Linked DNA regions of Notamacropus eugenii. The protein of the gene in region 2 interacts with the protein of the main gene of each other region in a pairwise test. Links are inferred from orthologs where the notes say so. Each region holds a gene or a part of one and is shown on either strand. Other genes may lie near its edges.

The links.
Region 1: the proteins of PCBD1 (region 2) and HNF1B interact in binary tests that used the Homo sapiens proteins (3 or more experiments, as listed by UniProt). The link is inferred for Notamacropus eugenii from reciprocal best matches to the Homo sapiens genes PCBD1 and HNF1B.
Region 3: the proteins of PCBD1 (region 2) and TFF3 interact in binary tests that used the Homo sapiens proteins (3 or more experiments, as listed by UniProt). The two-hybrid records come from large-scale screens. The link is inferred for Notamacropus eugenii from reciprocal best matches to the Homo sapiens genes PCBD1 and TFF3.

The regions. Positions count from the first base shown.
Region 1 is NC_092873.1:307,004,714-307,008,462, forward strand, and holds the start of HNF1B (hepatocyte nuclear factor 1-beta), read right to left. Parts: upstream 2,386-3,749; 5' UTR 1,814-2,385; intron 1,609-1,813; exon of another isoform or gene 1,336-1,608; intron 1,225-1,335; exon of another isoform or gene 1,058-1,224; 5' UTR 1,048-1,057; coding exon 704-1,047; intron 1-703. UniProt on the Homo sapiens protein: Transcription factor that binds to the inverted palindrome 5'-GTTAATNATTAAC-3'. Binds to the FPC element in the cAMP regulatory unit of the PLAU gene. Transcriptional activity is increased by coactivator PCBD1.
Region 2 is NC_092872.1:239,935,210-239,938,958, reverse strand, and holds the start of PCBD1 (pterin-4-alpha-carbinolamine dehydratase), read right to left. Parts: upstream 2,481-3,749; 5' UTR 2,321-2,480; coding exon 2,318-2,320; intron 1-2,317. UniProt on the Homo sapiens protein: Involved in tetrahydrobiopterin biosynthesis. Seems to both prevent the formation of 7-pterins and accelerate the formation of quinonoid-BH2. Coactivator for HNF1A-dependent transcription.
Region 3 is NC_092876.1:416,710,451-416,714,199, reverse strand, and holds the start of TFF3 (trefoil factor 3), read right to left. Parts: upstream 2,316-3,749; 5' UTR 2,229-2,315; coding exon 2,147-2,228; intron 1,322-2,146; coding exon 1,175-1,321; intron 1-1,174. UniProt on the Homo sapiens protein: Involved in the maintenance and repair of the intestinal mucosa. Promotes the mobility of epithelial cells in healing processes (motogen).

The DNA.
Region 1 (3,749 bases), on a different chromosome or scaffold from region 2:
AATAAGGTTGGAATGGATGCAAGGCCTTTCAAGCTGTGTATTCTGTCTGACAGTGGCACTAATAATTCCCTCTGGGAATCCCAGATCCCTCAGTGAGTTCTGGAGGGTTCAAACGCGCTGCTATAAACAGAACCAAGCGGCTGGGGAAGCTCAAAGTCTGTTCCCTTCCCCGCCCCCGCCCCCCCGAAAGTTTTTGGCTCAGGGTCGGGGTGGGTCTTCCCTAGGATCCTAGCAAGAGCAAAGCCCAAGGTGGGTGAACTTTTCCAGTTCGGAGAGTGCATACCCGCGGCGAGCTCCGGGTTAGGTTCTTGGGTTTGGGACCCTGAGCTGGAGTCAGGCCTCCACTCCCAGCTCAACCACTTAGGGGTTGCTGCTTCTCATCTTCCCACGTCCCTGGGTAAAAGCTAAAAGCAAGTATCTGTCTTTCCTACCTAGAGAACTATACCTGGAATCAAGGTGTTACAGGGTGAGCTACAGGGAAAAGTGGACTAGTCAGGCCCCAGTCTGGGCTGAAGGGAGAGAGGTTTAGGTGAGTCTGATGGTGGCCCAGCAGAGGCATCTCTGTCTGGGACCCAGGCACCCCAAGAGCAGGAGGGAAGGGAGAACCAATTTTGGAGGGCCAGGCTGAACAGAGCTGCACAGAGCAGGGGACAAGAGCTAGGTCCAGGACTCACCCAGAGTGCCCACTGGGCGCTCCCCGTACCTGAGCATGCGGTCCACTTCGGCCCTCTGCTCCACAGCCTCTTCGGTGTTGAGGGCCTGTAACTCCTTAAGGATGGGAGGGGTGTCATAGTCGTCTCCGTCCTCCGACCCCTCGTCCCCTGACAGGCGACCCTTGGCATGTCCATTTGTAAGGGTGTGAAAGACCGGCTTGGTGTCAGACTCAGCCCCGCTCCCTGGGGACAGCGGCAAAGTCTCCAGCTTCACCCCGAAAGTCGGGGCTGGCAGCAGTTCCTCTAGAGCCTGGGCCAGCACTTCCTTGGTGACCCCGGAGCTCAGCAGAGCGCTCAGGAGTTCTTGCTGGAGAGACGTGAGCTTGGACACCATTTTCCACCGACTGGAGAAGAGGGGGGTTCGGGGTGGGTGGGGAGGGGGTGGTGTGAGAGAGGAGGGCGGAGGGGAGCTTCACGAGCAAACCCCAAGTCTGGGAGCCCCCCCGAAGCCTCCGCACACCTGTTACTCCCCGGTCCCGGAGTCTCCTCCGAGAGGAGTCAGCAAACTTCTAACTTTCCATGATCGCCTCCATTAGCCAATATAAGATATGCAAATCAGTGGGAAGGGACGGGCATTTCGGCCAGATGCAAATGGAGTTGGGGAGGGGGAAAGTCGGGGAGAGGGAGAGAGCGAGAGAGGCTCATGGAAAAAGACAGAGCTCCCGGCTGGAGAGCTGGGTCTGCTCAAGCCCATGGTGTTTACACTGAGGGCCGGGGACCTTCTTTATTGGTTCTGTTTATCAGCCAAACTTTAGCTGAACTTTGGACTTGTTAAGCAAGACGTCCGCAGCCAAGTGCGCCTGCTGGGAGAACCCTTCCACCCAGCGGTTCACCGGGCCCCAGCCCAGGGCCCTACCGGGAGGAAGGGAGAAACTGACATCTCTTCGGGGGGAAGGTGAGAGAAGGATGCTGGGGGGACGGTGGTAGGGAAAGGGGGCGTCCTTTGCAGAGAGAAGTGATGAACAAGAGCCAACTCAACTTACCAACCCAACACGTGGCCTAAAAGAAGTCAAACCTTGGGCGCTGATGAGTGGGGATTGGAGGTGGGAGGACTCCTTCCTTGTGGGGATAGGGCTTTGGGGTGGGGGTGGGGAACTTACCTGCTACTAATTCAGATCCCATGTCAGGGCTTAGAGTCCTTTCTCCCCGACACTGTAAATGAGGGCCGACTCGAATTTCTAGAACTCCTAGGATCGAGCAAAGGGTGTGTATAGCTGAGGGTTGGAGGGAATGCTCCCAGGACACTGAGACGGAGACCACAACAGACTGCCCAAATTTAGACTGAGCTTAGAGCCCCGGGGACACTAAATGGAGGGAGCAAAGGGAGGTAATAGTGTCTAGTTTCTAAATAATAGCAACAATAATAAACAACAAATAAATGAAGGAATGGATGGATGGACAGAGGCCAGAGCTGGGGAGTAAGGTTCAGACAATACCAACAGATCTCTGGCCAAGTGCCCCCTAACAAACTAGGATAAGGCAGCCGAAGCCCATCAGATCCAAATTGCTTTCTCTCTTATGCCTCTCTGCATTTGGTTCCCTGGGATCCCTATTTTCCAGGCCATTTTCCCATAGCTCTCTGGAGCAGAGTTAAAATTTCCCTTCAGTTTCTGTTGACCTCTTATCTCATTCCTAACTCCCAAGAGATGTATTTTGTCCACTCCCCCAGGAGAACTACACTCCACAAGGCCTTGGGTCAAACAATCTTGTAAGGACCCATATGGATGAAAGATCCAGGATGGAGAAACTTTCCCTTTGAAACAGCTCAAAAAGAAAAGTAGGTGACTTGATTCATCCCCACAAGATTTCCAGTCTCAACTACCCTCAGGTGAGGAAGAGGAGGAAGAATGCAAAGACTTTAGAGCAAAAGGAAAGACAGAAGCAACAAGGACTTGTCATCCTGGACTTGGTCTCTGGAGGACACAAAGTCATTACTTAGTCTGAATCAAGGAGTTACCTGGGCCTAAATAAAGGTTCACAGGAGCCAGATCCCCAGTAGCCAGGAGACAGGAAACTCCTCCCGTTTCAGGGACCTTTCTGCCTTGGCCTTGACCAATGGGGGGAATTTGGGGACACTACCCTATCTGTACTTTATCTCTGTCCTTAAATCACACCGTATTTATGTTTTAGCAGACTTTATTGATAACTTTTGCAGCCCCTAGATTTCTCCCTATATCCCTCCCCTATTCTGTCCCAAGGAGCCATGCCTTAGAACAAATGACTTTTTTTAAAAGAATAAGGAAAAAGGAAAAAGAAGAGGGAAAATCAGTTAATCAGTACATGGAACAAATATGACATACACAATTCTCCATAACCGGAGACAGCCCATCTCTGCAAAGGAGTTGAAGGGGAGATATCTTCTCATAACCCATCTTTGGGATCAAGATTGTTCTTTATCATTCTGCAACATTCATTGTCATCATATTCATGCCCTAACATGCTCCTTGAGGGCAGGGGACTGGTTTGCATTTTTGTCTTTGAATTTCTAACCCTGTAATAAGTCTGGTACCTTGCACATAATTGGTATTTAAATTAAAGAATGAATGACAGGGTACCCTGGTTGGAAGTATCCCCTTCCTACTCTTATTATTATGTTAATATTTGCCCCATCACTACTTCTGGAGCTTTATTGATGCCAAATTCCTACTCAGACTTTTGGCAAGAAGAATGGCCAAATATCCTTCTGTTAACATTAGTGTTGAATTCTCATTAGGGTATCCAGGGAACCCAGTTCATGAGGTAAATACAGGTGCCTAGAAGATTGTATCATGCTGAGTTACATTACCTAGGCATCCATAGGCACACACATGTGGATGATGGGTAGTTGGCCCTTCAGGGTGGAATTCTGGGAGATTCCTAGGGATCTGATGATAGGCAGCAGGAGGGACTAGAGATGGGTGACATTGAAAGGAGAAAAAAAGGAAATTTTCAAAAGCTGTCCTTGAGTTTCCACTGGCCAAACCTCGTTCTCCAGGCCACTCCCACTGTCCTTGCCACCAGTGAGGCAGGGAAATGGTTGAAGAGAAATCCTGCAGA
Region 2 (3,749 bases):
AATCCAACCTTAGGTTGTGTGACCCTGGGTAAGTCACTTCATCTCTGCCTCAGTTTTGTTCAACTATAAAATGGGGATTATAATAACACCTACCCTGGGCAAGTCACTTAACCCTGTTTGCCTTAGGTTCCTCATCTGTAAAATTAGCTGGAGAAGGAAATGGCAAATTATTGTGGTATCTCTGCCAAGAAAACCCCAAAATGAGGTCACGATGAGTTGGACATGACTGAAACAACTGAGTGACAAAATGAGTATCAGAGCCAGGTACTCTGACTCCAAGTCTGGCATTCTTTTCAGGCACCTTGTGGATTCCCAGTTACTGTTACCATGTGGGAGACAAAGAAAGAATAAAAGAAACCGTCCCAGTCCTCAAGTAGCTTATAATGTAATTGGACACAGGAAACAGAAGATCAATGAATACACTGAAGAATAGTGTTAAATGGGGTAAAATATCTAGATGTATCCTATAGACAGTGGGGAGAGGGGAGAGGGAGATTCTTTAGGGAGAGGAGTGATCAGTGATGACTGGAGTTATCAAGGAAGACTTCCTCAGGGAGACAAGGCTTGAGATGAACCTTGTAGGATTTGAATAGACACAAGTCATACCATCTCCACTAGACTGTAAACATCACAACAGGGCTTATGCCTTGTCATTCTCTGTATCCCCCACAGTGCCTTGCACATAGCTGGTGATCAGTAAATGTTTGTTGAATTGAATTATCCTTCTCTCCCCTCCTCTCCTCTTTTTCCTATTGGATAGCTGCTGAGATGGTGGAACACCATGGTGGGAGGAAACATTCAGAGTAAACACAGGTCTAGAAACCATCACCCCTGCCCTTTCAGACTGGCTGATAAGCTCCATCCAAGTATCTTGGCAACCAGACTTCAGACTGAGCCTTAATATCTGCTGTCTGGTGTGTTGAGGGAGGGTGTGGGGGCTGGGGAAACAGGGCTCAGGGATGGCCCTGGAAGGGGTGTGATCTCTTCAGAAATTCTGAAATGTCTCTCCTCCTCTTCTGTCTCTCTCCCACCAGATGCCCACCCAACATGAATACCTTTCTGACCTTCAGGTCCAAGGGTTGAGAAGTGATGACATTTGTAGAGATTCAGAGGGAGATTAACCTAGTCCAGTATCCTGGCCTGTGAAAGGCTGGAGGAAAAATAACCACCCTCCCCACCCCCCACCCGCCCACTCTGTCAGATCCTTCTTCCCCTCCCCCAGATCTCCCAATTAGACACAGACTCTTACTCAGTATGGACTATACTCTCTCCATCTATCCCCATCCCTTCCCCCATTTTAAGGCTTTGCTAAATTATGTCTAAGGTTCATTTCAGCTCTAAAGTTCTGATTCGACTTTTTGGCTCAGACTGAGCAAGCAAATGCCTATTTGCCAGGCTAGCCCCTTCTGCAGGTATGGACCTCTCTCTGGCTTCTTAGATCCATTCCTGCCTCTCCTCCTCCCCCACCCATTTTGAACTAGAACTTGGTATGGGTGAGGGTGAGACCACCCCCAGTATGGAAACACCATCCCACACCAGTGAGGCTAGTTCATCGAAAAGCCATTCAGGCAAACATCTCACAGATGCCTTTTCCTGCACCAATGGCTGCACATTTCCCCCAGGTTTACAGAGGTACTGATCCTCCCTTAGAAACCCCTGCCTTTGGGAGGTCAATGTCTACTGCTTTCCTCCACCTCCTCAAATATATTCTTTGGGATGGAAGATTGGGAGGTTAAAGGGATCTCATTTTACAGATGAGGAAACAGACCCAGACACAAGTTGAGATATTTAAGGTCATACAAATATTAAGTAGGAGAACTCAAATTTGAACACTTTGTCTTCCTTATTCTGGGTTGTCCGCACCACTCTGTATCTTTTGGTCATTTAACAAATCCCCATTCACCTGCCTGTCAAAGGGCAATTCAGTGTGATCGAGGGAACATGGATTCAGGGCGGGAAAGTCTCGGAGGTCATCTTGGTGGAATGCTTTGCTCTCATTCCCCTTGGACCTCAGCTTTCTCCACTTCCCAGCTGGCCTATGGAGGGTCTCTGTCACCTCTGGACACACCGTGGTTCCTGCCTGGCACCAGGTGGAGAGACTTTCCTTTCAGGAACCCTGCTTGCCCAACTTCTCCCCCTCCCCCTCCCATTCCTGGAGCTGCCTGCAGGAAGGAAGCAAGCTGTTGATTAACTGAGGGACAGGACTGTGCTGCCTAGAGGAGGCAGCCCTCAATGTCTCTGCCCTGTCTCAGTCAATCCGGTATCTTGGACAGCTGCTTCCCAATGCTCTTGCCCTTCCCCAGCATGGGGTCCTTACCATGTCAGGAGTGGGTGCAGGAGAGAATCCCCCGGAGGACCACAGCTGAAACAGGAGGGAGTTAGAGAGGTAGTCTCAACCAGCGAGGCCAAAGCTCCCTCACCACTCTGATAGCAGGGGGTGTGGCAAAGGGCTTACATCCACTCCCTGCCAGCAGCTGTCTGGCTCCTCTCCTGTTCTAGCCAGCCAGGGCCAGCTCTCAGGGGAGGGGAGGGACACTGGGGGTGGGAAGAAGGCCTGGCCAGGGAAGGGGGCAAGGCTCTTCAGGGTTTCTAGTTTTAAACCTAGACTCTTTCCAATCAAAAAATTGAGTGTCTATCATTCTCCTACCCCTCATTGAGGGACCAGCCCTGGTTTCTAAACAGGAAAGTGATCGCTGAGTTTCCTTGTCTCTGACCCTCCCCTTAGCCCCTCCTTTCTTGATCAAAGCTTCCAGAAAAGCCCCTTCTCTCCCTAAGTCAAAGGGAAGAAAAAGGGAGCCCAGGCCTGGAAATCAGAGCAGGCCTGTTGTCCTTTCTCGGGTTAATGTTTAACAGAGGAGGGCTCTCTTCTAGTGGAGGCTCAGTCAGCATTTACAGCCTCTTTTCTTTCTCAGAGAGTGAATCCCAGAGCATTAAAGATAGGAGGGGCCTCAAATCATGTCAACCAACTCTGTTCTTTTACAGAATAGAAAACTGGGTCCCAGAGAGGAAAGGGGGCATGTCCAGAGTCACACAGAAAACCGGCTTGGTTCTTTACCACTAAAAACCCAGGTCCTCTGACATTCTGCTCATTGTACTTTCTAGGATACCATGTGAGGGACACTACATTTCTCCTTGGATTTAAATTCCAAGCCAGATCCTTCACACCTGTGTGACTCTGGACAAGTCACTTAACCCCTGTGCACTATAGTTTTCTCATCTGTAAAACAGGATGATCCTACTTCTCTCTCTTCCTCATGGGATGTTGTGAGGAAAGTACCCCAGCTATGTGAAACATGAGTGTTGCATCCTTTTACCCTTGTAGGCTTGTGAGCACCAAATGAGCCAGGACGCTGGAACACGTTCTATCAACTGTGACACGCTTTGCAGATATCAGCTATTTTAAATTTCTCTTCCATTGATCCATGACTGGAGCTAAGTCTGTTGGGAGTATGGTGGGGTGCATAGTGCTATTACACTCCCCAGGCCCAAATGAATGGGAATTGGAACTCTGAACCACAGAATCTTGGGGGCATGAGGGTCCCCAGAGTCACCTTGTATAACCTACACCCTGAAGGAACCTCTATTGTAACATACCTAACAGGTGGTCCTTCAGCCTTCTGGCTGAAAATCTTCAAAGAGGAAAAACAACAGCTGCCTCTCCACCATGGACAGCTCTCAATTTTTTTTCTTGGTCAACACTTACTTGGCCTCTTTCTTTTCTTTTTCCACTTGTTGCTTCCTGGGGCTGC
Region 3 (3,749 bases), on a different chromosome or scaffold from region 2:
GTCAAACATCTACTGCACCACCTAGCTGCCCCAAGTACAAAGTAGTATGTTAATGTATGCTATTTTTATTTTTACAGAAAGAAATGTTGAACTGTAGTATTCATTTAAATATATATCAAAGCCCTTCTCAAGATCAATTTTATAATAGGGAAATTAAGTAGGGATCTGATTAATAGAGGTGAGATATTCCAAAACTTACCAGTGAAACGAGCACTGTACAAATAGAATCTAAATATAAATTCCTGACTTTGTCACTACCTGTGGTTGACTGACCTTGGATGAGTCATTTAACTTTTTTAAACTTTAGTTTGTCATATCTGTAAAATGGGAACATTGGTCTACATGATCACAAAGGTATTGCTCATGTTTAGAAATCTCTGAATCTTTTGTTTTTAATTCAGAGCATCCAAGAAGGCAATATTCTATCTACCTGTCACTTAGGTTTTTTTTAAAGCACAAAGTACTTATCAAAAGGAAAGGAAGATCATTGCTTAATCTAAAACTTCCTAGGATGAAACATAAGGGATATAATCAAGCTAATGAAAGAGTATGACACTTCATCTCAAGTGCCCTGATGTCTGGGTCTCAGTTAGGAGGATGTTCCAATTAGAGGGCCCCAAAATTGAAATGGGATGCCTCAGGTTATAGTGTATCCTCAATTTATGGAGGTTTTCAAATGAAGGCTTGAAGACTACTTGTTAAGAATACTGTAGGATAGATTCTTGCTCAGGAATGAGTCCTCTGATTTCCCTTCCAAATCCAAGAATCCATACTTTCACACTGGGACTTAAATAGATAATGCCCCCTCTCCTATCCTTAGGACACTAGACCAAGTTGATGATGGCCCTACTTCCCATCCCCAGTCCACTTCAATCCATAAACTACCACAGTCCCAATAGTCATTGGTCAGGGAATGTTTGGCCTCTTTTTATCCTCCATGGTCTATGACGCTTTATTATCTGCCCTGCCACTTTGCTTACTGAGTCCTAAGCACTTCCTGGCCTTATCATCTCCCATGAAGCTAAACTTCCTTGTGTGCTTTTCTCTGCTAATTGAAGTGTGAGTTTCTTCAAGTCAAGGTCTCTCTAGATTTTTAAATTTGTATTCTCAGCACTTAACATAATGGTTCCAATCTGATAAATGTTTAAGAAATGATTTTCCCATTAACAGTTACCTTCTGTTTGGAGAGGTTTGAAGCACCAGGGTACTTGAGGGATGCTGGAATCAAAGCAACACCCTCTGTTAATGCATTGTTCTGCAGTGACTTCAGGGTAGCCACAGTCTACTCTTTCTTTGGCTGGGACAGCACATTGATCAGGAGCTGATTCAAACAAAAAAAAAAATTAAGTTAAATTTCTTGGAAAGTATTTTCTTTTTCTTTGGGAAATTTGTATCCAACACCATTCTAACTTCAAATTATGATGACACATTTCTTTCATCAAACAGACTTTAAAAAAGAAGACTAGCTTGTTTTAACTATCTTCTTTCAATGTAAATGGCTAAAGAGAAACAAAATAAATCCTTAACGATAATGAGTGTTTATAAGTCAAGTATCAAAAGTGTGCCATAGAATAATCTTAAAAGTTTTTAGACAGAGCTGTTATTTATCCTCTTGTTTTTCTCATACAATGCATTAAAGAATATTAAAATGCTGTTTTGGATATTAATCTGCCCAGCAACCTATAACAATCTGAGTTGCTTTTTCACAGGCTTAACAAATGAAACTTTACACTGATGTGTTTTGCTGAGACATTTTTAGTCATTCCTTTATTATTTCACATTTTTTGACTATGCACATCTTCTCATCATCTAAATATTCAGTCTCCAAGCTTCTTTCACTAATAATATGCTAAAATGATTGATACATTATTTGTTAATATCATTTTCCCTGATTTCACTGATGGAAAGTTTTTTCAGAAGAAAAGTTTGTCATTTAAAAATGATTGTCTTTTAGATCCTCTTTTTCCTAGCCAACTTTTGAAATTAAGAACCACCTTAATTTTCTTGTTGTACTTAAAAAAAATAGCATGGCACCTTCCTGATTAACTTCCCTGTTTTGGTTTCCTAGCTGCTTTGTTCCTTGTAATTCCTCCCAATTCTATTCCTGTCCTCAGTGTACTGCAAGAAAATGAGAGAATATACTCACATAAGCCAACAAATCCACCAAGTGTACTGGAGAACCCTAACATCAGGATAAATGCCACGAAGTAGAGACCTTTGAGATCCATTGCAATCTGCAGATTTCTAAAGCCTGAAATCTTCAGAAATATGAATAAAAATCACATAAGAGCCTCATTTATACTCTTGGATTTACACAATATATCAGGATGTTTATCTTGGTGGGGTTTTCTTCTGTGTGTTCTAGCTCCACCTCTGTGAATCTGAAAAGACATCCAAAGCTATTATTTTCAGTAAGAATACATTGTACTAAATGAGCTGAAGAAGGAAATGGCAAACCATTCCAGTATCTTTGCCAAGAGACCCCAAATGGGGTCATAAAGAGTTGGACACAACTGAAAAATGACAGAAGAGCAAAAAAAGAAAAGAACAAGTAGTAAAAATAAAGTTTTGGTGAATATTCTGTAATGTTGAAAGAGGCTACTATTTGATGAATTGTTCAGTAAGTTAATTATTACCTTGAGGAAATCCATTTAGGTCATTTACAGTATCAAGTAGAAAGGAGAAAATGACTCATGGTATTAAGTCACAATAATTTTAGAGATGCTTTTTATGAGTCAAAATTGTGATCCTAGAAGTATTTTATTAGATATTGGATCATTATTTGTACGTTGATTTTAATAGTCTTCTGGATCCAAAATTCCATTAAGGTGATCGAGTGGAGGATACAATACTGAGTAACTGGTACCTCCTGCTGTTATTTGATATTGAGTGAGTATGTGATAACTGGGAAGACAGGATAAGGGTTTGCATCAATAGGGAGCAGGTGAATTTTTTTCCTAATAAATGTGGAATGCTAGTTAGTTGGAATTTCTTTCACATTTCTGCTCTGATTGGAAAATTTTTAATTTGTAATACTCAGTATACCTTCCCCTTATATTTCCTGTCAAATATTCTGTCTAGTACAAGTATCAAATACAGTACCCATTATTTCTATGACTTCTGAACTGGGTAGAGTATTCTCTGAATGACAATAAAAATTACTTTGTTTGAGACAGTGTTGTAGAGCAGAGTAGTGGCTAGCTGGGTAACTCAGCTCATTCTCTCCCTCTCCTTCTCTTCTCCAAAGGAAGGTAAATTTTGATGGTCAGAAGCTGCCCAGTTAACTTGGGGTTTACTGGCTAGTTTTCTTTTCTTCTTTCCTTCCTCCCTTCCTTTTTTTCTTTTTTTCTTTTTTTCTTTCTTTCTTCTTTCACAAAACCTTAAACCCAGTTCACTCTGAAGCCACAGATTGGACCACTATAGGTCCCTGCCCAAGCTCCACTCATTTTGGGGATCTCTTGGCTTAGAGAGAATGTCAATGGTAACTGTTTCTCTTTGGAACAGCAACCCTGAGGGTCTTCCCCTCCAACTTTGATTTTTTTTCCCTTTTTTCTAATTAAAGGAGCCATCCCTTGACTCACTTCTTAAAGAAGCCTATTCACTAATGGGTGTTACCTCACTCTAAGTAAGTACCTGAAAAGGACTTAACCTGAAAGGGCCAGGGTCTCCCATTGTATCCTGGACCTTCTCTAGTCATCCTGATGAATATCCGACCACTGGTCCCAGATGGCTCTGGAGGAGAAAGAGAG